Linked DNA regions of Canis lupus familiaris. The protein of the gene in region 1 interacts with the protein of each later gene in a pairwise test. Links are inferred from orthologs where the notes say so. Each region holds a gene or a part of one and is shown in the gene's direction. Other genes may lie near its edges. The genes, in order: CCDC102B, HMG20B, NTAQ1, LMO4, CCHCR1, MAGOHB and CCDC120.

Region 1 (3,500 bases):
AATGTCATGTACATTAAATATTATTTATACCAATAAATCTTATTTGATAATAAAAATGGGTAATATTATACGACCTCAGAACTTTATTAATTTATAGATTAACCTGCATGTTTTAAGCATTTATTAAAAAAATTCTACTTGCTGTCATCAATATGGCTATGTTGCAATATTGAATAAAGTAATGGGTGTACATACTGATAAGTAGGTCTGCTTTGACCAATTAATTTGTCTGTGTTATATATATGGGAAGCTGCTTGTAATTCCTTTATAAAGCTTTGAAACTATGATAACATGAAAGCTATGAAACTTTGATAACATTGTTATCTATGCTGGGAAGTCTTTTCATTTCTAGGAGACAGTTCATCGCTCCTTGAGCAGTGCTTCTTACAGAGCTTCCTACATACCGTAGCAACCTAGCACTGATTTGACACATAATATATACTAAAAAAAGATTGATTGAGTAAATAACTATACTTTTATAGTGTGAATATGTACTTTTAATTTTCATGTGCTTGTCTCCCACTGAACTCCAAAATCTTTAAGACAAAAACCATGTCTTATTCACAATATTTTTTTTTTTTAGAATTTATCATAATATTAACCATGGGATGAAAGTAATTCATGTATCAATCTAATGTCACTTTGAACTGGGAGTGACAGAAACTTCAACAATCACACCTTAAATAAAGTTAGGTAACCATTCTCACATGGTACGATAACCAGAGATTTCATGCCACAGTTCAATCATTAAATCAAGCCCTTTTCCTCTTTCTGTTCCATTATTTTAAGTATTATCAGGTGGCTGTTACACTTGCCTTCTTCCAGAATCATGTCTTTGTTTAGGCAGGAAGAAAGCAGAGGGAAAGAGTTTCTCACTTTGTGATTTTTTTGTTTTATAGTTGGGAAACTTTCCCAACAAATTTTCCCTCAAATCTCAGCCGGAACCTGATCCTATGCTAATGCATGGTCAATGACATGTAGGCCACCATGAAAGAGTTAGACCAATTAGGATTTAGCCCCTGGGATTAGAAAAGGGACCTGGAGATCAATAGATTCCGCCTTCCACTTAAATGGGTTGTGCTTGAATTAGCAGGGAAAAGAGGATCCCTGAGTAGTTAAGGGACAATACAGATTACAGTAAATATTACCTAAAAAGAATTGGATTTGCTAAAATGAATTATTCATGTCATATGCTATTCCCGATTGTATCTTTATATTTTTATTTGTATTCATTTGGCCAAATTTAATATGAGCAATTTCTGTTTCTTTGAGGATAATTACAAATACATAAGTTCTTCTGTATTTTTAGTTATAGTGGAAAAGAAAATATGTAATATTGAAAGATATATTGTTTTCATCCACCTTCTTTTTGTAATATAGGTCTTGCTCATTCCATTGCAATGGAAACTAAAATGTTAATTATGTTCTCTTTTTTTAGACCCAAAAAGGTAAATATGAATTTAGATTCCATCCATCGGTTAATTGAAGAAACACAAATCTTCCAGATGCAGCAGTCATCAGTAAAACCACCTTGTGACATCGTAGCCCCTGATTCCTCCCCTAGGGACACTTGTCATTCCTGTTTGCCACTTCAGGGGCTGCAATCACATGCTGCTCACAACTTCTGTGCACACTCGTGCAATACCAATGAATGGAATATTTGTGAAGAGCTTCGCCTGCGGGAGCTTGAAGAAGTCAAGGCCAGAGCTGCCCAGATGGAGAAGACCATGCGGTGGTGGTCAGACTGCACTGCTAATTGGAGAGAAAAGTGGAGCAAAGTTCGGGCTGAAAGGAACAGTGCCAGGGAGGAAGGAAGACAGCTCAGAATAAAATTAGAGATGACAATGAAAGAATTGAGCGAATTGAAAAAGAAACAGAGTTTGCCACACCAAAAGGTGTTAGAAACTACCCAGGACCTGAAGCATCCCAGCTTCATGGAAGTGTCCTCTGCACAAGGAGACCAATTTCAAATTGCTTCACAAACATGTAAGTCTATCAGAGAGTATCTGGTGAAAAGAGAATTTCCTACAAAAGACAACACATACAGTAAGGTAAGAAAAAAGCTCCACAGAGGAATCCAGAGATTATGTGTGGGTTTGAATGCAGTATACAGTAATGGGGAGGAAAGAGAAAATGACAAACCCAGTGGTGACTGCATTTGCTTGCTTGGGCTGCCATACCTAGGTACCACAGATCTGGGTGGCTTCAGCAACAGAAATCTATTTTCTGATAGTTCTAGAGGTTTAGGAATGTGAGATCAAGGTGTCAGCAGGTTTGGTTTCTTCTGAGGCCTCTTCTTGGCTTACAGATGGCCACCTTTTCCTTGTGTCTTCACATGGTCTTTTCTTTGTGTGTGGTTATCTTCAAATTTCCTTGTAAAGACACTATCTCTAGGCCTACCATATTAACCTCATTTTAACTTAATGACTTCTTTAAAGACACTGTACCCAATTCAGTATCATTCTAAGGTACTGGGTGCAGGCTAAGACTTCAACATACCAGTTTTTGGGAAGAGACAGAGTTCAACAGCCCATATTACTGATCTTAGTAATATTTTTAGCAAAAATTAGCATTTTTATGTGAAAAGAAAATATTTAGAGAGATTTCTCTCCATTTACCCTCATTATGACAATAATAATAAATTGTTCATACAGTAGGTTTCATACAAAGGTTTGGGACTTTGGCTTCATGATTAATTCCTGTAAAATGGGTACTATAGGCAAATACCTTTAGGAAATGCTTCACATTATCCACTCGTGGAATTTCTTGATATTCTTAGAGTCTTGAAGTTTTTAAGAATTCTGCACAAAATAAACTTTTTAGAAGCTTTATCTAATATAGCAGTTTGTAACCTTATTTATCCATTTTCTTTAACCTGGTAAATACTATTAACAACCCATGGAACATACTTTCAGAAACCTTAGGAATTCATTTTATTTCTTTAAATAATATCAGTTTATATTGTTACTCCTTTCTAATTCCACCTCTAAAAATATAGAGCATGATATCTTGCTCTTCTATGATTCAATCTAAAAATTTAAACCTTTCTATTATGTATGGGATTTATGGTAGATATAACCTAGATTCCATTGTAAATAAAAAAGTTTTCATAGACTGAAATGTATTTCACTATAATGTAGAACATAGAAGGAAAAAAAAAAAGGCTTAAGGAATGCAAGTTAAAGTTCAGTCATATGTCTCAATTACAGACTGATAAATGAAAATAGTAATTGGATGGTGAATCATAATATTTATTTCCTCTCCAAAATATGTTTTCTTCATGTGTTTTCTGCACTAGATTTAAAAAATTAACAATAGTTGTTTTATATTTTTTTCTTTTCAGGAAGATTTGATTATTGACCAGTTAAGGTTAAATGAGGAGATGAAACTGAATCTTAACAGCCCTGATTCATTCAAGAATGGTGGTACTGAAAACTGTACACTGAAATCTGCATTAAGACTGCAAGCAATAAACCTACCTTTGGAGAATGAAGTGTCTG
Region 2 (4,051 bases), on another chromosome or scaffold:
TCCACCCATGAATCCCTCAACAAAGCCACTTAGATTTTCAAATTTATTCTGTTAAAATTTTGTTCTTTGGGGGGCGCCTGGCCGGCTCAGTCATAGAGCATGTGACTCTTGATTTCTGGGTGGGCCCACGTTGGGGGTAGAGCTTACTTAAATAAAACTGAAAACAAAACTGTTATGTAGCAGAGGAAACAAACACATGGGGAACAAATAAGGTGTATGGGGGAAACCTCATTGAGAAGCTGACATTTCAGCAAAGACCTGAAGGAGATCAAGCCATGAGCCAGGCGGATAATCTGGAGGAAAGGGCACACCAGGTGCAAAAGCCTGGAGGCGGGAGTGAGAGAAAGGGACCTATTTGTATGTGAGGGGCATCAGGAGGTGGAGAAGGCAGAGGAGGGCAGGGCGGTGATGTGGGAGAGTTGTTTGGGGACTAACGGGACATCGTGAGCATCCAGCGGCCGCAGCTGTCATCCTGGGAGTCGGGGAAGTCCCAGCCCAGGCCACAGGACCACGCTGCCGCCTGGGGCTCCCCCAGATCCCAGAGCAGAGCCTCCTGCCCCTCCATCTCCACGGGGTCCCAGCCCCGGGCCTCAGCTTCGGGCATCCCAGCCTCCTGGTCCTGCACATCGTGCAAGGTCCCCATTGCACGGGAGGGAAAGCGGAGCCTCCGGGGGAAGAGCAGCCCCCGCCCGCGCACTGCGGGGCTGGGCACAGCGGGACGCCGGGGCCCTAACTTCAGGGACTAGCGGGTAACTTCCCCGCCGGGTTTGCGAGATACGAAGACAGGTCCCACCTCGTCCTGGGGCGGGGGGTGGGGGAGACCGCCACGCCGCGGGGAAGGACCTTAACCCCCTTCCCTAGCAACCGGCCGCCGTCTCCATGGCAACCAGGGAGGGGCGCGATCTCGCCCGGCAGGTCCCGGGATCCCGCTGGGGCGGGGAGTCTCGCCTTGGCCGGGAGAGGAGGAGTCCGCGCCGCCCCTACTGGCCCTTTAAGGGGCTCCGCCCGGCGCGGCCCCAAGGCGCCCCGATTGGCCCCGAGAGCGGCCGAGCGCAGCCGAACTTGACGCACCCGCCCGCGGCCTTCCCCGTCCACCTCCCACGCGGCCCAGCGGCTGCCCCAGCCAATCGCCGGCCGGCGCGCCAACCCTCATCTGCATGGCCACGCCCCAGGGAAAGCCTGCACCCAATCGGACGGCTCGCGGAGGCCGCATTAGCATGCCGGGGGCGGGGCGAGCGGCAGGGGCGGGCTCGGGGCGGTTGGTTGGAGCGTCGCAGCAGCCGAGAGGTCCGGGAAAGTTTCTTTGGAGGTGAAAACAGCCGCGGAACTCGGGGCCCTGCGAGGGGGCGGGGGCGCGGGGGTCCCGGGACCGGGGAGGGGCCCCTCCCGGACCGGGGGAGAGTGGGCCCGGCCCTCCCGGGGGGCGATCGCCCAACAAAGGATCCCTGGGGCGCCCGCCCTCGAGGGCCTCCCCGCCCCTGGATCCGGCCCCCCCAAACACCCCGGGCCCGGCATTCCGGGATCCCCCGCCGGCCCGGCCCGTCGGCGGCTCGGGCGCCGCTCACCCGGCCACGCGTCTGCCTTCCAGGTGGGGCCGGGAGCGGCCATGTCCCACGGCTCCAAGCAGCCCGGCGCGGCCGCCGCGTGAGTGCGACTCCCCTCCCCCAGCCCACTCGGGTCTGCAGCCCCGCCCCCGCCCTCCCTGTCGGAGCTCGTCGCCCCTCGCCCCTCGCCCCTCGCCCCCGGGTCTTGACTCCCCCCACTGCCGGGCAGGACCTCCCCGCACGCCCCCAGCTCCCCGCCCCGGTTCCTCCCGGGGGTCTCTCCCGCCCCCCACCCCCGTGCTTCCGTCCCGGCCCGCGGATAGTGACCCCCGCAGAGCCCTGCTCCCGGGCCCCGGGCCCCAGGCCCCTCTGTGCCAGCTCCGCGGTCGGGATGGACGTGAGGGCGGCGGTGACCCTGGCGTCCCGTGGCTCCAGGCCGGCGGGCGGCAAGGCTCCGGGACCGCACGGGGGCTTCGTGGTGGCCGTCAAGCAGGAGCGCGGCGAGGGCCCCCGGGCCGGCGAGAAGGGGTCCCACGAGGAGGAGGTGAGTCCCTGCGCCGTGGTGGGGGCAGCCCTGGGGCTCGCCCCTCGCCTGGAAGCTCCACCCCGGGCTGGATTTGAATTAGCTGCGGCCCCGCCCGCAGTCCTGATTTTCCTCCCGAAGCTGAGGCCCCGCCCCGTGCCGCGTGCCACGCCCCCGGAGGTCCGCGGCCTCGGAGCCCAGGCCCCGCCCACCGCCAAATGTCCGGTGGGAGGCACCTTCCCGTCGTCCCGCGGGGCTTTCCTCCGGCGAGAAGCCACGCCCACGCCAGGTGCCACGCCCACTCGCCGTCGCTGGGCCCAACCCGGCTCCTTATGCCCCGCGCCCGGGATCGCCCGGGACCTCCGATCCGTCACCCGCGCGGCCGGCGTTCCCCGAAACCCGCCCTCTCCCAGTTCTGGCCCTTGATCAAGCCATACCTGCAGGTTTCCAGGATAGGCCCCGCCCAGCCCTCTAGCCCCGCCCCAACCCTCCAGGCCCCTCCCAACGGCGCGGAGTGGGTACTGTTCTGCAGCCCGTGAAGAAGCGCGGCTGGCCCAAGGGCAAGAAGCGGAAGAAGATCCTGCCAAATGGGCCCAAGGCACCGGTCACCGGCTACGTGCGCTTCCTGAACGAGCGGCGCGAGCAGATTCGCACGCGCCACCCGGATCTGCCCTTTCCCGAGATCACCAAGATGCTGGGTGCCGAGTGGAGCAAGCTGCAGCCGGCGGAGAAGCAGGTGGGGACCACTGACCTTGCCCCGCCCACTCGGACACTGCCCTGCGGCCACATCCCCCAAAGGGCTTCCGCGGGGAGCACTGACCACCCTTGAGCCCTCCCCAGCAGGCGGAAGGAGGGGAGGGTCGCAATAAGCAGGAATCCACGGAAAGCTTGATAACCAACACGGAGAGGTCTAAAGAAGTAGGAGTGGGGGCCGGATTTTTATGTGATAGCTCTTGGTTTTCAAATCCTGCTAATTAAAGTTGCAAAAATATAGGAAACAAAACACACCACCAGTTTGCACCCTCTAAGTGGGATTTCACCAAGCAAAATGGGTGTGGGAGCCCAGCCCAGCCTGGAGATGGGAGCCTGCCCTCAGACAACTGGGAGAGGCTTTTAAAGGCAAGAGTTTGGGGGAGGAAGGTGCCCCGCACAGCAGGCCGAGGAGCCGGGTTCACCTCCAAGGAGGGAGCTGTGGGAAGGTGCGGTGTTGGCCTTGGAGGCCGGCCGCCCCTGCCCCTGGGCTGGGACAAGCCTTCCTCTGCCCCCACCAGCGGTACCTGGATGAGGCCGAGCGGGAGAAGCAGCAGTACATGAAGGAGCTGCGCGCCTACCAGCAGTCGGAAGCCTACAAGATGTGCACGGAGAAGATCCAGGAAAAGAAGATCAAGAAAGGTGGGAAGGGCCCCAGCCCCCAGGCAGCTGGGTGCGGGCTCTGAGACAGGTGACCCAGGCAGACCGACCTGCCCTCCTCCATGGGACTCAGTCCCATGAAGACGAGACAGCTGTGGGTGGACAGGGCTGAGCAGTGCCAACGCGGGGGCACACAGACACTGGGGGTCCTCACAGGAGCCTGCCCCAGGACAAGTAGGGCTAACCTGGGGGGGGGGTCCCAGGCAGGGGGGACAGCACTTGCATTGCAAAGCAATGTGTGGGCCCCTGCCAGGCTGATCCTGCCCTCCTCCCTCCCCCACCAGAGGACTCGGGCTCTGGGCTCATGAATACGCTCTTGAATGGACACAAGGTAAGTACCCCTCCTCCTAGGACCATGCCTGGGTGAGAAAGGTCTGGAGGTCTTTAGACCCTGGGTGAGCCAGAGCCAGCTCTCACGGGAGGAAGCAGTGCCGGGCCTCCAAGTGTGCCAGCCGACGTGGGGCAGCCACATGGTGGGAATGTTGTTAAAAGGACGTCGATGCAGACGGCCAGAGGAATCCCTCTCAAGCTTGAGGGACGTCCCAGAGGGGTTGTAGCTGCCCCACCCCCCCAT
Region 3 (4,258 bases), on another chromosome or scaffold:
CACAGGCCATTGAAGGGTTTGCCAAAGAAGTATGGGCAAGTGGCTGCCTGCAGGCTTCACAGGACTCTGGTTTCTGGGTTAAGAGGGCTGTAGGAAGGTTATTGCCAAATTTGGGCTGTAAGGTCACAGAGGAACTGGGTTTGAACCTGTGGCTGGGGCAGACCCCACAGGATGTACTCAGGATCACACTCCCAACTCTTGTACTGCTCTAGAAACTGCAAGGAGCTTCTTCCTCCAGCATACTTTACTCAGAAGGCTTAACTTGGTGCCCGCTTTGAAGGAGAAATGCTCAAAGTAATTGCTATTTATCACAGAGCCTATGTCGAAGTGTGTTCAGAGCTGAGAGGCAATGCCTTGATAACTGACACAACGACATATGCTCAAAGTGTTTAGGATTTACATATGGGCTTTCGAACTCCTGACATTGGGAAAGCCTGACTGCAGATAGCCTATGAACAGACTAAGAATTTAAGTTTTTATCATGGGAAGTACCCTGATGAGTTATGCATGCTCATTACTAGTCTAAGACAATTCAGAAGGCTATTAAGTATAAAGTGAGAGTCCTTCATATCATTCATTCATCAAAGATAAATACCGTTTTAATAATTTGGGGTCTTTCCTTCCAGGCTGCTGGCAAATAAAAATATGATTAACACGAAATGAATGCCATGAGGACTCCTTTTAAACTTTTAAAAACTTTACCAAGAATCACTATATTTTTCTGGGTCAACGTACACAATTCTAATAAAAACTTGTCACAGCGCGGTGAGCTTCGGGGTGGCTGGCCCCGGACGTATTTGGAATTCGGTCCCCCCTGCCCCTGCGCTCCCGCGGCCTCTAGGAAAAAACTGCTAAAGCTCCGTTTTTTACATACAAGGTTCTCTCATTTGGCGTCTCTTCTGGTTCCTCCACGGCTGTTGGCAACCCCAGACCCGGGCTGGAAGAGGGCCTCCGACGCCTCCGGGAGATCCCCGAAGCGCCATTTAGGGTTGGGCGGTTGACCAACCCCACGCTCTGCCCCCACTCCTCCGAGCGACCTGCGGGTGACCTCTGCCCTCTCCACGCTGACCTCAGTCTCGCGGGGCACGCCCGGCCCCGCCCCAGCCGCCCAGCTCCGCCCCAGGCCCCGCCCCCAGGAATTACGTCATCCTCCTCGCCCCAGGCCCCGCCCACTGGAGACCCACGCCGTTCGCCGCCCTGGATCCGCCCACTTGGCCCGGCCTCCACGCTCCCGGAACCCGCTCGGCGCTTCCCTCCAGGCCCCGCCCACCGGAACCGCCGGAGCCCGCGCGGCCCCCGGCTCCGTCCACCCGGAACTGGCACCGCCCTCCCTGGCGGCGCGCGCCCGGAAGCTGCGTCGCTCGCTCCACCCAGGCTCCGCCCGCCGGGTCCCTGGCTCCACCGCCCGGGAGGGAACTGCACCCCCGCCTCAGGCTCCGCCCGGGAGGCCCGCGCCGCGCGCCGAACGCCGGCTCCTCCCCCGAAGCCTGCCCGCGGGGCTGGTGCAGTCGCTTCGCCTCAGGCCGTGCCCGGGCCCCAGCCAGCCCGCCATGGAGGGGGATGTCCCCGCCGCCGCCGCCGCCCGCTACCAGCCGGCCAGCCCCCCGCGGGACGCCTGCGTCTACAACAGCTGCTACTGGTGAGGGGGCGCGGGCGCAGCCCCCGGCATCCCGGCTCCCGCGGTCTCGGCGTCGCGGCCGGGCCCCGCCTCTTCCCGGCCCCTCCCTGGGGGCGCTCTGGGTCTCGTCCGGCGAGGTTCCCGCGTGGGGGCTGAGGGAGCGGGAATGGCAGCCCTCGGCCCTTGAGAGGAGCGCAGGCACGGGGCGGGGGCGGATTCCCAGGGGGTGGGCTCGGTGGTGCATTACTAATGCCCGAAGCCTTTCGCTTGGACTTTTGTCGGCAGATCTCAGTGCCTGGGGGCCAGGAAAGGGGAGTTGGAGGCGGAGGGTGGAGCGCAGAGAACCGTTGCGGATTATCCTGCTGAAGCCTTTGTGGTTTCCCCACTGATGTGAAAGGTCATTTTAATTTTAGGAAGAGAATGGGAGAGCGGAGATTTTGCAGTAACTTTCCAAGGTCATCGGCTAATAGCAGCCAGGAATCCAATTCAGGCCTTCTTGTACCAGAAACCATGAGCTTAACCACCATGTTGTCCTGATCGTGCCCATTGTATTTACATAGCACTTGCTGTATGCCACTTGTTTGTTTGTTTTTTTTAAGATCTTATTTATTCGGGGGGGGGGGCAGGCTCCCTGCGGGCCCGATGTGGGACTCGATGGATGGATCCCAGAACTCCCGGCAACAACCACTGAGCCACCCAGGTGCCCCCCCAAACACTTTTTTTTTTTTAATTTTTTAAAAAATTTTATTTATTTATGATAGTCACAGAGAGAGAGAGAGGCAGAGACACAGGCAGAGGGAGAAGCAGGCTCCATGCACCGGGACCCCGACGTGGGACTCAATCCCGGGTCTCCAGGATCCGCCCCGGGCCAAAGGCAGGCGCCAAACCGCTGCGCCACCCAGGGATCCCTTTTTTTTTTTTTTTTTAAAGATTTATTTATTTATTCATGATAGACATAGAGAGAGAGGCAGAGACATAGGCAGAGGGAGAAGCAGGCTCCATGCAGGGAGCCCGACGTGGGGCTTGATCCCGGAACTTCGGGATCGCGCCCTGGGCCAAAGGCAGGCACTAAACCGCTGAGCCACCCAGGGATCCCCCCAAACACTGTTTTGATTGGCTTATGTAAACCAATTCATTTGAGCGGGGGTAGGTGTTATTGTTACCCCCGTTTTAAAGATGAGAACATCGAAGCACAGAGGGTGCAACTAATTTGCATAAGGCCATCCTGTCTAGTAAGTGAAGAAATGGGGATTTACCTGCAGGGTTTGGCTCTGGAGTCCACACACTATCCCCTTGGCCTAGGCCACCTGTGTGACCAAATCACCACTCCTACCTCTGTCTTTTTCGCTCGTACACTTGAGTAATTAATGACTTCTTCCCCAACTTTCAGTTGCAAAAGAAACCTTAGGCCCATCTAAAACTACCTTTTCCTCCTTTAGCTGGCGGTCAAACCATGTCACCAATTTACATCTGTTCCGCTCTGACTGCATGTCAGGGCTAGTGTCAAGTGTTTCCATCCATGGCTCCGAGATAGGTTCTGTCATTTACCTCATTTTATTAACGAAAAGAATGAGCCACAGACAAGCCATGTCCAAGGTCACACGTGTAGCAAGAGGCAGGGCTGAAATTGGAACTGTAGTACAGGAGTCCATGATTCTTAAAGACTGTACTTTAGTACTGCCTTACCTCTCACCTAAATCCTATTAGTTTTTGTCCCTAGCACCCATTCATTATTTTACTTGTTCATCTGATGTTTATTAGGCATGTGGACTGTGTGATATTACAATTGTGGGCACTTGGGAGACAGCAGAAAATAGATTCCCTAGTTAAGATCTTATGGTTCTTAATATTTTGGTTCAGGGAAAGCAGGCAAAACCACGTAAAACCATGTTTGGTGTTAAGTGCTATGAAAAAATAAAGGTAAGGGATGGTGACTCACTTTTATAATGGATATTTAGGGAAGGCGTTGTTGGTAAAGTGGTATTTGAGCAGAGATCTGAAGAAAAAAAAACCGGTGGGAGCTTTGTGGATATTGGAGGAAAATCATCCCAGGCAGGGGAGCAGTGGTGCAAAGGCTCTGAGAACGAAGTGTGCAGGAGTATTCTAGGAACAAGGTGGCTCGTACAGCGAGAGTGCAGTGGTCTGCTGGAAGAATGGTCGGAATGGATATCTCTTCAATAGATGGCCTCCCTTAATTAAGTTCCTTCAGCTGTGGGCTGAGCCCTCCTCGGCTGTCAGGGGCCTGTTCCAGCCCTTCCTTATAGGACTCTGCCCAGATCTGTTTCCTATTCCCTCAGGTCCTAAACCTTAACTGGCTTCACACTGCTAAAAGTCGTTCTAAATTCAAATGAGCCATAGAATCACTTGGGAGCTTGTAAAGTGTGCAGATCTTAGGGTTCTACTCCAGAGAGTCTTGGTGTGTAAACAGTACAGTGGAGGAGTCTTACACTCGTCCATTGATCACGTTTTCAGGAATATAGGCATAAACAGTAAAGTCTGTCTCCTGAGCATATTCAGAGATCTGGTCACTTGTGTTTCTGCAATCTTATTTTGAGCCTGCCTTCTATGCCCTAACCCAGGGTTTCTCACCCATGGCTTTATTGACATGTGGAACGTGCTAATGTTGTGGAGGGCTGTTCT
Region 4 (4,156 bases), on another chromosome or scaffold:
GCTTTGCACTTTCATGATAATTTCCACCAGAAAAATCTCTCTGGAACTTACTAATAATAATCAGACCTAATATTAGCCTCAGATCAGAGATTTATTAAACCTATTTGGCAGAGCAGATAAAGTTGAATGACTAGGTACTCAAGCATCTAGGCTGAGCTCGGGGCCCTGGAAAAAGACTCTCAGGCTAGCAGCACCCTAAAAGCATTCCTCAACAGTTAAATTTATACTAGACGTGACCTTTCTTCCTCCCCAGAGGCTGTGGGATGGTGAATGTTGCCATTCCTTGTTGCTGTCTGGGGGGGGAGGGGGGGGGGGACGGGGGGCTTGAGGAATCGGGCCTCTCCTCCTGCACAGCAGGGGTGGATGGAGGCCGAGCCCTCCTCCCTGAAGTTCCCCTGGACCCCCAAAGTCCGGGCTGTGAGCTCTTCAGCTCCGACTTCGGACGATCCCCTACGAGACGCCCACGGGGCTCTCGGCCGGCGCTCGGGCCCACGCGGGGGACCGGGGCCGGGCGGCCAAGTCCTGCAAGACCTGCGGACTCGGTCCCCACCTCCTCGCTCGCTCAACTTCCCACTAAGGGCTCATCCGTCTCCAACGCCCGCGAATTAAAGGCAGAAAAACAAAACCTCTTCTGCGTGCGAGCGAAGCCCCCCGCCCGGAGGTTTCGGGGAGACTCTTCCTCCCCAACAGGAGGGGACCCATTTTTGAGCAAGACGAGAAGTTTCCTGCGGGGCTCGCGCGGGCGCGCGGGGGGGGGGTCCCCGAGGGGCGCGCGGGTGCGGGTCCCCGCGATCGCCGGCGCGGGCAGGAGCGGCGCCCCCGGCCGCTCCATCCTGCCCCCCGCGGGAGGGGGTTGGGGTCCCGCCGGGGGTCCCGCGAGGGTCCCCGGGGCTCGGCCGCCCACCTGCCCCCGGCCGGGCCGTCTCCGCCCGCCGCCTCCCCCGCTCCCCCGCCCGCGGAGTCTCGTTCCAGTCCTCCCTTTGTCCTGCCCCGGATTGGCAGGTTTTATTATTCCGCCTGAACAACCCGGCCGCCCAGTGGCTGAGGGTCGCTGACGTCGGCGGCAGAGCCGGGGAGTAGTTGGGATTCGGCTCTGTCAGTAACACATGTGTAAGCGCCGCGCAGGGAGCGAGCGAGCCGGCTAGAGGCCAGCGCCGCCGCCGCCGCCGCCTCCTCCGAGCCGGGCGGCCGCCGCAGCAGCAGCAGCCCGGGCAGCGGCGCAGGCTCCAGCGCGCCGGGCCCGGCCGGCCGCAGCTCCCCGGCTCCCGGCCTCCGCGCCGGCCGCCGCCGCTCCGGGGCTCTGGTGCCCGCGGCCGCTCCCCGGCTGGAGGGGCAGGAAGCGCGGCCGAGCGCCCGCCGCCGGCCCCGAGCGAGCGAGCGGGCGAGCGAGCGGGCGGGCGGGCGCGCGGGAGGGAGGAAGGCGGAGGAGGAGGAGGAGGAGGAGGAGCGGGAGGCGCGCGGGCGGGGGCGGGGGCATATACAAAGTGAAGCCACATTGCCAAACTTGCAGCAGCGATTGCAGCAGTTGCTGCCGCTGCGCCGCGCCTGAAGCCGCGCCGCGCGGGCCGCGGGCTCCTGCAGCTGCTCGCGCGGAGCCGGAGCCGGAGGCGGAGGCGGAGGACGACGCGGAGGACTCAGCCTGACACTCCAGCTCCCGGCCGCCTGCCGCTTACGGCGGGGCCCCCCGACCCAGCCTCAGGGCGACGCGTTTAAAAAAAAAAAAAAAAAAAAAAAAAAAAAGCAGCCCTTAGCCCCCTCCTCCCCTTTCCTGCTTCTGCGAGAACATCCCCCCTCCCTCCAGCTCCGCCAGCCAAGGCGCCCCTTCCTTGGAAGCCGAGCGGCTTCGCTCGCTTTTCGCCGCCGCCGCCTCTCGCAGTATTGCAATATAGGGGAAAAGCAGGTAAGGGGACGGCTGGGGAGCCGCGGGCGAGGGGGGGCAGAGGGAGGAGGGGGCCGATGTGGGCCAGGGCTGTTTTCTTTGGCTTCCTTCCCTTGACCGTCCCAAATTGCAAGTAAACAATACGTCGGCTTGGATAATGCGCGAGTCTGAAACTACCGAGGCCGGCCTGCGAGCTAGCACGGAGGGCAGCCGGCCCCGGGCCGCCAGCTTTGTAGCGGTTCCTGCTTACAAAAGGGTTCTTCTTGGAGACGGGGCTGCTGGGGACCTGGGAGGGTGGGGAGGGGTGTGTGTGCGTGTGTGCGTGTGTGTGTGTGTGTGTGTGTGTGTGTGTGTGGTAGTGGGGGGGTATTTTCAGTTCCTAAGGGAAAGGCCGGAGGTGCTTAAATGAGGGTTTAAGTATGAGAAGTAGTGTGGGGGAAATAGTCACGACCCCCCCCCCCAGCCCCCCAGTAAACACTATTTTTGAAACAGTGGCAGAAAGGATCTAAGTGAGCAGGATTCAGTATTGCTGGTTCTTTTCAAAAATTCCTCTTGGCTTATAAGTCTTTTGTTCCAATCCAGGAGAAATCCGGTGAATCACCTAATTAAAATCAAGACATGAATTAAGCATCCATTTTTGTACTACAAATTGCCAGCGCTACGTTTGTCCCTCCCCTGGTCTCCATTAAAAAACACCAGAGACGTTGTTAAAGGGGGGCAGATTTTGCCTCTAGCTGCCAGTTCTGCTTTCTATTTCACTGACTATCCCAGGACCTAAATTGCTTGGCTATGTAATTACTAGAGTATAAGCCTATTTAACTTAAAAGCTTTCTTTTTTTTTTTTTTTTTTTTTTCCAACTCTAAATGAAACTTGATGAGGGCCCGTCCTTAGTTATCAGGGGAGTCAGTTTCTGGTCAGTCCTCTTGATTCATCTCTTTTAGATTTAATCAGCATTAAGGTATTGCTTGTCCTTAAGAGCTTTAGCTAATGGGGTTACTGGATGCTTTTCTCAGTGTAATGTTTCCTTTTCGAAAAAAATATACATATATATTTACCTCTCACCAAAGATGGGGGCGGGGAAGAGCTTGGAATCTCCTCCCTCCCTCTCCCCTTTTAAAAAGGAATTCGGAGCGATTAAAACGTTGGGGGAAACAGTTTAAAGACCTCGGGCAGGAAATGCAGATTCATTTGGGTTAGGGCTGAAATTGTAACAAAAAGCAATTCCTCGAGTAAATGCATCAGATAAATCAATTTACATAAAGGTATGATGCATTCGGATAAATGCAATGCTAATGGGTTTTAGAGTGGTCCTGTTTCCAAAGTCTCAGGGTTTTGTTACAGCTTAATTGGTGCAGTTCTTATTCTGGTTTATTGTGCGGTCACTGGACACACGTTCCGGGACTCTTTCGGAGGAAATGTGTTTAAAATCGGCCTATTTAAGGAACCCGAGTCCTTGTTTCGTTCCCTTCCCCTGGTTGTTTTTTTTTTTTTTTTTTTTTTTTTTTTTTGCAGCAGCCAAGTTGGGCCGGGGACAGGCAAAGTTCGCCCTCTCCCTTCTGAGGTATCAGCTGAATGTCTTGAGCAGATAGCCGGGAGCCTCGGGGGGAGCCTCCACTCTCGGCTTACAGAGGACAAAGACAAAACAGGCTGCTTAATTGGCAGTAAATAACTTGATCTTTTTATAGAATAAGTGACTGGAGGAACACTAGGACTTTATTGGACTCAGGATTGGAGGCAACAAATTAATCGGTTTAGGCTAAGCTTTATAAATTGATTCCTATATTATACCCCAGTTGCTTCTCGTGACATTCATTAGAAAGAGTGGGGAATTTTTTTAAAAGCAGTTTTTGGTGACAGCAGGACTGGCTCGAATATAACTTGTGCATCCCTTAATAGTGCCTTCTCGCATATTATCTGTAACGTCGCCCCCCCCCCCCCCCCACACACACACACTCCCCCCCCTTTGGAGGAACAAAGCTTTAGCATTTAAATTGCTGATCAAGGGCAGATTAGTGAGACCAAAGTGGAGAGTGTTTGTATAGGAAGTTAACAGGCATCCTAAAGTTCAATGATCTATTATTCTTGCCTGTGTCCTGAAAACCCAGAGAAAACACTCATTGATCTTCAAAATGAAATGAGATTTGGAACAATAATGGGAGATGGCGGTCACCACAATGGCATGTGAAAGGTGCTGTTTAAAATACGAAAAACCAGTTTCGCAACTTTACACACCGCACCCCCTCCCTCGCGTCCCCTGCCTCCCCTCCCACCACCTC
Region 5 (3,500 bases), on another chromosome or scaffold:
TCCGAAAGAACCTGGAAGAAGGGAGCCAGCGGGAACTGGAAGAGATTAAGAGGCTGCACCAGGAGCAGGTGAATATGGGGGTGAGAAGGGTTCAGTTCCTGCTGGAGGAACTGGCCAGAAGCTTCCTAGCAAAGAGCAAGTTTCACAGAAAAGTCCCCATGACCAGTGGAGTAATAAGATGTCTGGGGAAGGTGAAAGACGAATTTGGGTGTTTTGGTCTTTGTTCAGTAGGAAGTACTTTGTGTTCCTGCTTCACTCAGGATACCCACTTCATGTGGGAGCATTGTAAGGGTGGTGAGGAGGGTGGGAGAGGTCTCCTGAGGTGGACTGGGGAAAGGAGAGGACTCATTCAGCAAGCATTTCTCAGTGCTACCTTTTGCCATCTGAGATCTGTGTGGGGACTCTGGGGTGGGCAAATCAGCCTGAGTCCTTGTGGGTGGAGCTGACACCCAACTGGGGGACTTGCACATTCAACACCTTATGTAATCCTAATTAATTAATTGCAATTGGGAGAAATGCCAGGAAGGAGAAGGACAGGAAGCCCTAATGTGGACAAGGGCATTAGGGGAGACCATCCTAACCAGTTGACATGTTAAGAAGTGAAACCATAAAGATACTGGAAGAAAACATGGGTGAATTCCTTTTTTTTTTTTTTTAAAGATTTTCTTTTTTTAAGTAATCTCTACACCCAAAATGACCCTGAGATCAGGAGTTGCATGCTCTATCTACTGACTGAGCCAGTCTGGTACCCCTGGTGAATTCCTTTATAACAGATTGGTGAAGGCTTTTCTACCTATGAGTTAAAATCCAGTCATTAAAGGAAAGATGGATACATTGGCTTTATAATTTTAAAATTAAGGATGTGTGGCGCAGCTGAAGGGACAGGTCACTTGACACACCCTCTCACTTGACTCTCTCCCTGTTCATCCCCCCCCAACTCCTGCCTCCTTACACAACGGATGGTACTTACCCACCAAAGATCTCTTGAAGAGTTACCCTATGTACCGGGAAAATAGTCCTGAACAAACACAATGACACAGTAAAAATGACAAAGTAAAATTAAAGAACAGATGATAAAAAATATTTACAGTTCATATCGTGAAAAAGGCTAATATCCCTAACATATACTCTGTGCCTAGAAGTTGATAAGGGAAAGGTAGCAATCTAGCCAGAAAATGGACACAGCAGGTAGTTTAAAAAAAAAAATGGCCTTTAGGTTTATGAAAGATGCATCTTGATAAGTTGTCATTTGAGCTGAATAGGAGTTGGCTGGTGAGCTGGCGACACTTGGCAGCCTGTGGGGCATAAGGAGGCCAGAGGGTCAAGGGGTATGAGTGTAGAAGAGGGGGGGTGCCCTGGATGGTGTACGCACGGGGAGTCCTTGGGGCCTGTTCAGAACTTTGTACTTTACCTTGAGAGCAGTGAGCTCTGTTTTTGTTATTTTAAGATTTTATTTATTCATGAGAGACACAGAGAGGCAGACACAGGCAGAGGGAGAAGCAGGCTCCATGCAAGGGAGCCTGATGTGGGACTCGATCCCGGGACTGAGCCAAAGGCAGCTGCTCAACCGCGGAGCCACCCAGGTGCCCTGATGAAAAATTTTTAAATAGACACTGTCTGTGTCTCTGCCTCTCTCTGTGTGTCTTGTGAATAAATAAATAATCTTAGGGGATCCCTGGGTGGCGCAGCGGTTTAGCGCCTGCCTTTGGCCCAGGGTGTGATCCTGGAGCCCCGGGATCAAGTCCCACGTCGGGCTCCCAGTGCATGGAGCCTGCTTCTCCCTCTGCCTGTGTCTCTGCCTCTCTCTCTCTCTCTATCTCTCTCTGTGTGTGACTATCATAAATAAATAAAAGTTTAAAAAATAAATAAATAAAGATTTAAATAAATAAATAATCTTAAAAAAATTTTTTTCATCTATTTGATAGAGAATGAATGGGGGGAGGGGAATACAGAGTGGGACAAGGAGACTCCCCACTGAGCACGGGGCCTGTCTCTAGCCCCAATATCATGACCCGAGTCAAAGTCTGACGCTTAACCAACTGAGCCACGCATGCGGCCCCTGCCCCAGAAGGCTTCTGAAGACTGGTCAGGAGTTTGTTGGTATTGTGCAGGCCAGAGAGGAGGGTGGCTTGCTAAGGTTGGAGACAGAAGTGAAGATACATTTAGTGGAGAGAGACCTGGCAGGGACCGCTGACAGAATGGCAGGTGGACGGAGGACAGTGGGGCACCAGGGACTGTCTCCATTTTGCCACGTTGTTTTCTAAGGTTATGGAAGGTGGGATTGCAAGGACAGGGTCTGAGCGGGAGTGGATTCAGAAAGTCCAGATGTGGGAGTGAGCTGGCCCCTCTGTGCCCTCTCTTCTCTCCACAGCTCTTGTCCTTGACACAGGCACACCAGGAGGCTCTTTCCAGTTTGACCAGCAAAGCTGAGGGCTTGGAGAAATCTCTGAATAGTCTGGAAACTAGGAGGGCAGGGGAAGCCAAGGAGCTGGCTGTGGCCCAGAGAGAGGCCGAGTTGCTACAGAAGCAGCTGAGGTAAAGTGGGGGTGGGCAGCAAATGGGATCCGGCAGGCGGGTGGATGTGGCGGGTCTCCAGGGTGCCTCACTGATGGCTGCCCGGTTCCCATCCCAACCCCAGCAAGACCGAAGAAGACTTAGAGGCACAAGTGACCTTGGTTGAGAATTTAAGGAGATATGTGGGGGAGCAAGTCCCTCCTGAGGTCCACAGCCAGACCTGGGAATCGGAGCGACAGGAGCTTCTAGAAACAGTGAAAGTGAGAGAGTGCGCCTCTGTGTGGGCTGGAGGTGGGGTGAGAAGGCTCAGGGATCAGATCCTGGGAGACGGGTGGCCCCTGAAAGCAGTTGCTGACAAGGGGTGGCATCAGGCTTGAGGGCCTGCAGAGCAGCCGCTCCCTCCTTTGCACTTCCTCCTGCAGCACTTGCGGGAGGACCGGGATGGCCTGCACACCACGGCGGAGCTGCTGCAGGTGCGTGTGCAGAGCCTCATGCACATTCTTGCCATGCAGGAGGAGGAGCTGACCAGGAAGGTAGGCCCCTTGCCTCCAGCAACTCCCCGAGGGTGGGAAGAGTTGCCGTGCTGCCAGAACCTTCTGGGACCTTCTCTTCAGTGAAGCCCTCTTCTTGCTGTGGCTCTTGTGGCTTGGGTGGGACAAAGAAAACAAAAAAACAAAGCCTGGGCGCACTTCTGGCCCTTCCTCCAACGCAGGTCCAGCCTGCAGACTCCCTGGAGCCCGAGTTCAGCAGGAAGTGCCAGGCCCTGCTGAAGCGCTGGCGGGAGAAGGTGTTTGCCCTCATGGTGCAGCTGAAGGCCCAAGAGCTGGAGCACAGAGGATGTGTGGCGCAGCTGAAGGGACAGGTCACTTGACACACCCTCTCACTTGACTCTCTCTCCCTGTTCGTCCCCCCACCAACTCCTGGCTCCTTACACAAGGGATGGTACTTACCCACCAAAGATCTCTTGAAGAGTTACCCTATGTACC
Region 6 (4,218 bases), on another chromosome or scaffold:
AGCCATGGCTGCAGCTTGGCTCCCTGATGAACTTGTTCCTCTGGGACAGGGAACAGCAGTGAGTCAGGAGCTGAAGCTGGGTGTACAAAGTTCTGCTATTATTGCACCTGTATCTTCTTCAAAGAGCTAAAAATATTCTTTCTTTTAAGGTTTGCCTCCTCGTGTTAATACATGTCTACATGATTGCTTTCTTCTCTGGACTAACAGTATAAAGGGGTCTATTATTATTACCAGTGTCTGTCCATTTCTGGCACATAAGAAATGCTAAATGTTAAAGTCATTATGTGTTTTACAAATTTTAAAACTTATTATACATTTATTATCTCATTTGATCTTCTCAGTAATTCCTGAGCTTGGCAAAGTTGATTGTAGGATATTCACTCGGTTGGTGAACAAACAGGCGTCAACAGTGACTAAGCAAACCACGGTTAGTAGAGGTAAGTGATGGGAATGAATCCCAGGTCTTCTGACTGCCACTCTTTCCTCTATATCCTGCTGAAGGTTAAAGGTCACCCAACAGAATTACGCTGATGGTAAAAACAAGGGTGATCAATAATATTCGAAAAGCAGACTGTGTATAAAGTTTCTTTCCACTTCCTCCAAAACCCATTCTATACTGGGACACTACTTTAACCTCCCCAATTTAATTCTTTCTGGTAAGAATCGTGGGCTGGGGCGCCTGGGTGACTCAGCCAGTTGGGCATCTGCCTACTGTTCAGGTCACGATCCTCAAGTCCGGGATGCAGCCCCAAGTTGGGCTCCCTGCTCAGCGGGGAGTCTGTTTCTACCTCTGCCCCTCCCCCTGGAGAAATAAAATTAAAAAAAAAAATGTGGGCTAAACCATTTGATCTTAAGTCACATTCCCCAAACTCCACAGGCTACCAAAGATCAACCCTTACTGAATGATGGAAGTTTTACTATTAAGAGGAACTCTCTTAATACGGTAAATGTCAGAGATTTTTAGTTTCAAAGCGCTTTTCAAATTTCAGACCTCTTGTCTGATGGATTCTTTCTACTTCGCCTCTATTCTAGGTTCCATCATTGTACAAAGGGGAAAGCCCCGGTGAAGAAGCTAACTTCAGGAAAGGGCCGGTAGTCCGGGTCTACCATTCTGATTCCGGGCTGTTTCTTTTTGCACCAGTTAAAGGGGAATGAGGCCACACCCACCTCGTGAGGACGGGATGCCGCGAGGATTAGGGATTCGAGGAGGAAAAGCGACTTGCAAACCTTCATTCTAAACCCATAAGTAATCATTATTAGTTTTGCCAATACAATATGAGCTACTTAATTTGGGGGGGGGGGGGGAAATGGTCTTCCAACCTTAATTACGCAAAGTTCCTATCGCCCGGGCGCCTCTGAGCAGCTAGAGTCCGCCTCCCCCCACGGTCCTCCAGGGACCCGGGAGCGGAAAGGCGCGCCCGCAGTGACGCATTTATCCCGCGCGATGACGTGGCTGCCAGGCGCCCGGCGGCACGTTGGCCAGGCCTTGGGCGGGCTTCAGGGGGCGCAAACATGGCTATGGCCAGCGATTTCTACCTGCGCTACTACGTAGGGCACAAGGGCAAGTTTGGACACGAGTTTCTGGAGTTCGAGTTTCGGCCAGACGGTGAGCAGCGGAGCGGGGCGCCGCCGCCGCCGCCGCCGCAGCCTAGCGCGATGCGCGGCTGGGGGAAGCGGGGCGGAGAGGACTCGGAGGAGGCGGGGTGCGGTGAGCCAGCGTCGGGGGGCTTGCGAGTCTGTCGTGGGGGCCGAGGTCACGGCTAGAGCCGGAGTAAATACGAACTGAAGACTCTTCAGAAGCAGAAGTTGGTTCTCTGCATAAAAGAAAATTCACGGGTGTAGATGAATTCAGAAAATCGAATCCTGCCAGGTACTGAAAACTTGAACATAGGATAATGAGAATCCCACGTTCAGCGCACCGGAAGAGACCCTAATGCCATCTAGTTTACTTGACGTCATCCTTGAACATTTTAAAGAACATCCCACCACGCACTGGCCCAATGGATGCTTAAAATCTTTCGGGGACCGGTGATTCTCGGACTCCCCATTCAACCATTGTATTCGTTCAGGCGCTGTCTGTAAGGCCACGTGTCTAGGAATAGGAATGAGACCCACTCTGAAGAAGGAAGCTCCACGTATGGAAGAATGGGTATAATGATGTGGTTTGGGTGATTAAATATAGTTGTTCCCATAGGATGCGTTAAGAATACAAAAGAGGGGAATGGTTAGGGCTACATGTAGGCGTCGAGGAAAGCTTCCTAGAGAAGGTAACGTTTGAAATTGTAGCTGGTATGCAGGGCTATTCTGGGGTTCCCAAACAGACCAGATTGGGGGCGCAGCCGCTGATAACATCCAAAGGCAGAGAATCTACTGTTGGTGAAACAAGAAAGGAATTTAGTTCAGAGAGGCCGGCACCAAGGAGACCATGGACTAGAGTCTCAAACACTCTCTCTACATGCCAAAATGCCAAAAATACATGCCAAAAAAAAATGAGGGGCAAAGGTGCGTTTGAGATCATGGTGGAGGTAGCCCAAAACCTCTTTCAAGATGAGTCTTGAAATGAGAATAGACTTTTTTTTTTTTTTTTTAAGATTTTATTTATTTATTCATGAGAGACACAGAGAGGCAGAGACACAGGCAGAGGGAGAAGCAGGCTCCATGCAGGGAGCCCGACGTGGGACTTGATCCCGGGACTCCGGGATCACGACCTGAGCTGAAGGCCGACGCACAACCGCTGAGCTACCCAGGCATCTCGAGAATAGCTATTTTCTTGGCCTGTGAGGGAAAAACAACAACAAACATTCAGACCGTGGGAAGCAGCATGAACAAAGGATAAGGTGGAAACTGCTGCCTTGTAGGTGCAGCATATTTTATGTTTTGAGAGCCCTGATTCTCTTTAGAGAGTTATTGTATATTGAACTCTCCTTAGAACCAGGACAGTCCACCTGCATAGATTTTTCTGTCTTTGAATGCCCGTTATATGCTGGGCAACATGTAAAATACAAAAATTGAGGGTACAATAATGAGCAAGTCTCTTCAACTTCTCTGAAGGAGTTTTGCTTTGGGTAACAAAGATGTAAAACTAGCCATAAAACAGTGTGGATATTAAATGATGTGTTATGCTTTGGACAGAGTTCTGTGAGAGTGAAAGATAAAGCACAGAAGCATCATCACATATTAGAGAAGGGGGAATAGTATCAGACATAAAAAGAAACTCAAAGTAACTACAGCCCTGCAGTTCAGAAACCTTAATCACTATTCTCCTATGTTCTTGCCATGTCTCTTCTAAATTTAGCTAAGGAGCCAAATTTACCTGAATTCTCCATCTAATCTTTTCTTAGGTGATACTCCTTTTAGTGCTTTTGCCTGTAAACAGCTTTCAGCTTGCCTAGATCATGTTTAGTCACATAAATTAAGTAGTCTCATTTATCAGGGAGAGTTCATGCCAGAACAGTGGTTTTCATCCAGTTGTCTGCCACCACACCATTCCATATACTTCCTTCAGTGATCAAGGGTCACTGCACTAGGGTAACCTATCATTTTAGAGATCAGGACCACATTACATATGTATATGAACAACTGACTATAGCTATGAGGAGAAGCATGCATCAGGGAGTACAAAAGTCATGGATTAAAGTTAAGTGTAGGTCAGCTAACAAACTGGCCGACTTTTATCTAGAAGCAGTACATAGTTTTGTATCTTAGCCACAGTGTTAAATAGTAGCATTGCCATGCATAGATTAATTTGAAGGAGATAATTAAAAGAACACTTTGGAGTAGTGGGGAAAGCAGGAGTATTGGAAGAAGGTAGACCTAGAACTGAATCTTTGTGACCCTGGGCAAGTTATTTAACTCTGTTTTCTCAACTATGAATAGTTGAGAGAATAAAACCTTTTAAGGGTTGTTTTACCGATTAGATCTAATGCTCTGGGTAAATGACTTAGGGCCAATAGAGACCTATTACATAGGCTTTAAAAAAAATGTTAATTCCTTTTTCAGAGTCCCTGTTTAGTTCATGACAGCTTAGGCAAATGAGCCTTAAAAATGACCCCTCTATTATATTGAATTATATTGAAGGCATGAAATATTTAAAAATTATGTTAAATACTTTAAAAATCTATTGAAGGCGTGAAAGTTTTGAAAATGACTGGCTTCACCTTTAGCCAACTTTTTACCAACAAATATTTGAGTGTTTACAGGTCTAGCATTGATCTTATG
Region 7 (3,500 bases), on another chromosome or scaffold:
CAGGGTCGGGGGAGAAGGGTATAGGGTATACAGAGGCTTCCTGTGGGAGAAAGCCAGGTCTGTGTGAGGGGTGCAGTGAAGAAGGAGGGCCTGAGTAGAGGAGCGAAGCCCAAAACATCCAATTTCCTCTCCTGGCGTGAAGCCGATTCCTTGCCGGAAATGAACGAGGGGAAGGAATGGGGGAGAAGAGAAGCCAGATTCCCCCCTTCTCCACTGTCCCCCCTACTTCCTCTCCCCCTTCCTCCCTTAGGGAGTAGCCTCTGCCTTCCTGCAACCTGGGACCTAGCCCCTCGGGAAAGCCCAGACTGGGCTATTGAGAAACTACTTCCCGACACCTGCCTGCCCCCCATCTGTTCACCCAGAGTTTTGGGAGGAGGGCTCTAGGTCAGTGAAGGGAGCAGTCCCAGACATTGGGAGTTTGTACTTGGCTTGATAGTGGCAAGATATGGAAATGGGGGGGGGGGTCCCACTGAGGGTGCTAGGGTGCCACCCAGGTGAGGTGTCTTGGTTGTAAACAGTCATTACAGCCAGGAATTTCTTTCTCGGCTGTGGTGTCAGAAGGACAGACCTGAAAAACCTGCTGGGCCCGCCTCTGGGTGTGTGTGTGGGGTACCCTCTGCAGCTCTCCTGCTGCAGCCTATCCTAAGACAGGACTTGGGGGCTGGGGTGGGGGAGTGTTATGGCAGGGGACCGCTGGGATCCCCCTTCTCACAGTCTCCAGGTGGGGATGAGGCAGTTCTCAACCCTGGGGCAAATATGCAGAGAGGGCAGGAGAGTCAAAGGCAGAGGTTTGGGAGCTGGGTGTGGGGGTGTGGGGTGTTGACCCTGTGTCTAGCCTACCCAGTGACCCCATGACTCAGGCCTAAGCTATGTCCCCGAGGTCAGGCTGACAGGGTGGAGTAGGGGTTCCTGTCTAGACCCCGTGTTGACTTCAGGGCCATGAGCTCTCAGGGAAGGAAGGCTCAAGGCAGTCCAGCGTCGGATGTGGGAGCAATCCTAATGAATGGGCCCACTGGGGAGGAGTTGAAGTTCCTGTCAGGGTGGAGGAAGGTTTAGGGGAACCCTGGGAGAGTTCCTCAGACTCAAAGGGGCTGGGGAAGAAGGAACTCCAGGAGCTTAGGGGCTGAAGAGGCTGAGCTGGGACCTCGAGGAAACCCTGCCACGCTGGGCAGTATCAGACCTTGGAGTGTGGGCATCTGCAAAGCGCACATTGCTGCCGGGAAGTGCAGGGATGTGCAGAAAGGCTCTAGGGACTGACCCCTGACCCTGAGGTTGAGTACAGGGAGCCACTGTTTTTTGGGAGGCATACAGACTCTGTGGAGTCAGTAGCAGGACTGGTGGCAGCATATTAGCAGCTTGGCCCCATCACCTGGTAGATAGATGGGGAAGGGGCTTGAACTTACACTTCTTTAGCTGCCTGGGTCTTCTCCACACCTGGTCCCCATGGCATGACAAGCTGGGGATTAGGAGGGGATGGGACCTCTGTGGCCTCATGAGGCCCTCCTAGTTGCCTGCCACCTAAGGTCACACCAGGTGGTGGGAGGTGATGTCAGCTGGGGACCGAGCAGGATGTGGGAGGGAAGGAGCAAACTCCAGAGGAGGGGACGAGGGCAGGGCTGGCAGCCAGCCAAGGGAGGCTCTATGGTCAGCCAGGGTGTCTGGGGGCAGAGAAGGAAGCAGGAGGCAGGAGGCTTGTTATCTGCAGCTGTGGACTTTGTTGCTCACAGTCCCAGCAGGGTGACTTCCCTGTGCTGGGTACAGGACGGATTGGGGTGGGGAGAGGGGCTGGAGGGGTCCTGGGACTAAGTGAACACTCCCCGTGCTGCATCGGGGCTGCAGGATGAAGTTGGGACAAGTAGAGATCCACACATCTCGCTAGATCCCCAGCTTGGCTACCTTAGCATTCTTTCATTTCTGTAACAGCCATTCATTGAGCACTTGCTGCTTGCTCAGAAGTGTTCTGAGTGCCAGAGATACCCTGAAAACAAAACAGGTATGTTTCTTGTCCTAGAGAACGTGCAAGGGAAGCACAGTCTCTTGCTGGACAGCCATTGTGAGGGGCCATATGTAGGGGCGCACCTCTGGAAGTGATATTTAAGCCCCAGAATCTAAGTGAGAACCAGGGGTTGGAGAGGCATGGTGTGGAAAAAGCACTCCAGATGGCAGCCATAGCCTGGGCAAGGGCCCTGGGGCATCGGTGGGGTTGGAACTGCTCCAGTGGAGGAGAATAAGGCTGGAGGGGTGGGCCTGGGCTACACCCTTAGCCATGGGCAGGGTATTCACCCTTCTGTGCCTTACTGCTCTCATCTCGAAAATGGGAGGCCGATAATGCCAGAGTTGCCATCAAAAGATGGTAGGAAGATTCAGCGTGGCATGGAAGGTGGCTGTTACATGATCGAGGTGCTTAATTGGTGCCTATCCTTGTTACAGTTGGTTGAATCCGTACCGTTAATTCTCCTTCCCTAGGCAAGACTCCTGACTGCGGCCCATGGGCCTCTGAGGAGGCGTTGTAAGTCCGCCCAGCTCCCCGTGTGCTGTGCTTCCATTCAATGGGAAGGGAACCAAGGTACCAGGACCCAGTGGGTCCAGGCGCTGATACAGATTCTGAGAGGGCAGGTCCATCAGGCGGGTGGGGTCAGGGTACACCTCATTCCCAGCTGGGGCGCGGGAAGTTCGGTAGGGGCAGGGGGGAGTGGATGCAGAATGCTCCCTTGATGGCTCCCATGCGTCACTGCCAGGCCTTGTCCAGCCATCAGCCACGGCCTCTCGACAGCACCAGGATGGAAGTCAAAGGTCAGCTGATCAGCTCTCCCACCTTCAATGCCTCAGGTAGGTGACCAGTTCTTCCTCTCTGCCTCTCCTCCCCTGCTCTGAGTCACCACCTGCCTACTTGGAAAGGGTTGGTCCCCAGCCCCACAGCTGCACCAGGATACCCTGGCCGATCTTTGCTCTGAACTTTGCTCCCTCTGTATCTAGCTGCCCTGTTCGGAGAAGCTGCCCCCCAGGTGAAGTCAGAGCGTTTGCGGGGGCTGCTCGACCGGCAGCGGGCCTTACAGGAGGCCCTGAGCCTGAAACTTCAGGAGCTCCGCAAAGTGTGTCTCCAGGAGGCGGTGAGGGCCCAACCCTAAGAGCGTTTGGTTGAGAGGGGGCGGTGAGGGGATGGGGCCCCCAAGTAGGCAGATTTGGGTGGCACCAATTGCTGAGCCACCTGTCTGGGCTGCAGATTCCCTGTCACCCTCTAGCTCCTCAAAGCCCAACTCAGATAGCTTAGAAATCACTAAAATGCGGCAGTACAGGCCTCCAATTCCCTATCAGCAATTTGGAACCCCCCAAACCCTCAAAAACAATACTTATTTCCAAAATCTGGCAGTAAAACCTGACCTGAAACTGCCAAGGGGTGGGTTACAGCTTTGATTTAGCCCTCTCAGTGTGAATGTCTACGCGGTTTGCCAGAAATAATGCAGTTCCGAGCCTGCAGCCCTAGGCTCTGAGGGGGGGTG

The links.
Region 2: the proteins of CCDC102B (region 1) and HMG20B interact in binary tests that used the Homo sapiens proteins (3 or more experiments, as listed by UniProt). The two-hybrid records come from large-scale screens. The link is inferred for Canis lupus familiaris from reciprocal best matches to the Homo sapiens genes CCDC102B and HMG20B.
Region 3: the proteins of CCDC102B (region 1) and NTAQ1 interact in binary tests that used the Homo sapiens proteins (3 or more experiments, as listed by UniProt). The two-hybrid records come from large-scale screens. The link is inferred for Canis lupus familiaris from reciprocal best matches to the Homo sapiens genes CCDC102B and NTAQ1.
Region 4: the proteins of CCDC102B (region 1) and LMO4 interact in binary tests that used the Homo sapiens proteins (3 or more experiments, as listed by UniProt). The two-hybrid records come from large-scale screens. The link is inferred for Canis lupus familiaris from reciprocal best matches to the Homo sapiens genes CCDC102B and LMO4.
Region 5: the proteins of CCDC102B (region 1) and CCHCR1 interact in binary tests that used the Homo sapiens proteins (3 or more experiments, as listed by UniProt). The link is inferred for Canis lupus familiaris from reciprocal best matches to the Homo sapiens genes CCDC102B and CCHCR1.
Region 6: the proteins of CCDC102B (region 1) and MAGOHB interact in binary tests that used the Homo sapiens proteins (3 or more experiments, as listed by UniProt). The two-hybrid records come from large-scale screens. The link is inferred for Canis lupus familiaris from reciprocal best matches to the Homo sapiens genes CCDC102B and MAGOHB.
Region 7: the proteins of CCDC102B (region 1) and CCDC120 interact in binary tests that used the Homo sapiens proteins (3 or more experiments, as listed by UniProt). The link is inferred for Canis lupus familiaris from reciprocal best matches to the Homo sapiens genes CCDC102B and CCDC120.

Annotation. Positions count from the first base shown.
Region 1 is NC_049222.1:9,328,040-9,331,539, reverse strand, and holds part of CCDC102B (coiled-coil domain-containing protein 102B), read left to right. Parts: intron 1-1,438; coding exon 1,439-2,051; intron 2,052-3,343; coding exon 3,344-3,500. UniProt on the Homo sapiens protein: During interphase, forms fibers at the proximal ends of centrioles to maintain centrosome cohesion. During mitosis, dissociates from the centrosome following phosphorylation to allow centrosome separation. Contributes to CROCC/rootletin filament formation.
Region 2 is NC_049241.1:56,240,175-56,244,225, reverse strand, and holds the start of HMG20B (SWI/SNF-related matrix-associated actin-dependent regulator of chromatin subfamily E member 1-related), read left to right. Parts: upstream 1-1,251; 5' UTR 1,252-1,309; intron 1,310-1,588; 5' UTR 1,589-1,606; coding exon 1,607-1,644; intron 1,645-1,979; coding exon 1,980-2,088; intron 2,089-2,599; coding exon 2,600-2,803; intron 2,804-3,338; coding exon 3,339-3,459; intron 3,460-3,761; coding exon 3,762-3,808; intron 3,809-4,051. UniProt on the Homo sapiens protein: Required for correct progression through G2 phase of the cell cycle and entry into mitosis. Required for RCOR1/CoREST mediated repression of neuronal specific gene promoters.
Region 3 is NC_049234.1:22,155,276-22,159,533, forward strand, and holds the start of NTAQ1 (protein N-terminal glutamine amidohydrolase), read left to right. Parts: upstream 1-1,458; 5' UTR 1,459-1,550; coding exon 1,551-1,639; intron 1,640-4,258. UniProt on the Homo sapiens protein: Mediates the side-chain deamidation of N-terminal glutamine residues to glutamate, an important step in N-end rule pathway of protein degradation.
Region 4 is NC_049227.1:61,435,912-61,440,067, reverse strand, and holds the start of LMO4 (LIM domain transcription factor LMO4), read left to right. Parts: upstream 1-1,356; 5' UTR 1,357-1,900; intron 1,901-3,976; exon of another isoform or gene 3,977-4,068; intron 4,069-4,156. UniProt on the Homo sapiens protein: Transcription cofactor. Plays a role in establishing motor neuron identity, in concert with MNX1, acting, at least in part, to disrupt LDB1-LHX3 complexes thereby negatively modulating interneuron genes in motor neurons.
Region 5 is NC_049233.1:987,770-991,269, reverse strand, and holds part of CCHCR1 (coiled-coil alpha-helical rod protein 1), read left to right. Parts: coding exon 1-68; intron 69-2,371; coding exon 2,372-2,535; intron 2,536-2,638; coding exon 2,639-2,774; intron 2,775-2,936; coding exon 2,937-3,047; intron 3,048-3,226; coding exon 3,227-3,376; intron 3,377-3,500. UniProt on the Homo sapiens protein: May be a regulator of keratinocyte proliferation or differentiation.
Region 6 is NC_049248.1:11,017,109-11,021,326, reverse strand, and holds the start of MAGOHB (protein mago nashi homolog 2), read left to right. Parts: upstream 1-1,418; 5' UTR 1,419-1,512; coding exon 1,513-1,606; intron 1,607-4,218. UniProt on the Homo sapiens protein: Required for pre-mRNA splicing as component of the spliceosome. Plays a redundant role with MAGOH in the exon junction complex and in the nonsense-mediated decay (NMD) pathway.
Region 7 is NC_049260.1:42,413,317-42,416,816, forward strand, and holds part of CCDC120 (coiled-coil domain-containing protein 120), read left to right. Parts: intron 1-1,923; exon of another isoform or gene 1,924-1,993; intron 1,994-2,430; exon of another isoform or gene 2,431-2,466; 5' UTR 2,467-2,509; exon of another isoform or gene 2,510-2,566; intron 2,567-2,738; 5' UTR 2,739-2,780; coding exon 2,781-2,829; intron 2,830-2,976; coding exon 2,977-3,110; intron 3,111-3,500. UniProt on the Homo sapiens protein: Centriolar protein required for centriole subdistal appendage assembly and microtubule anchoring in interphase cells. Together with CCDC68, cooperate with subdistal appendage components ODF2, NIN and CEP170 for hierarchical subdistal appendage assembly.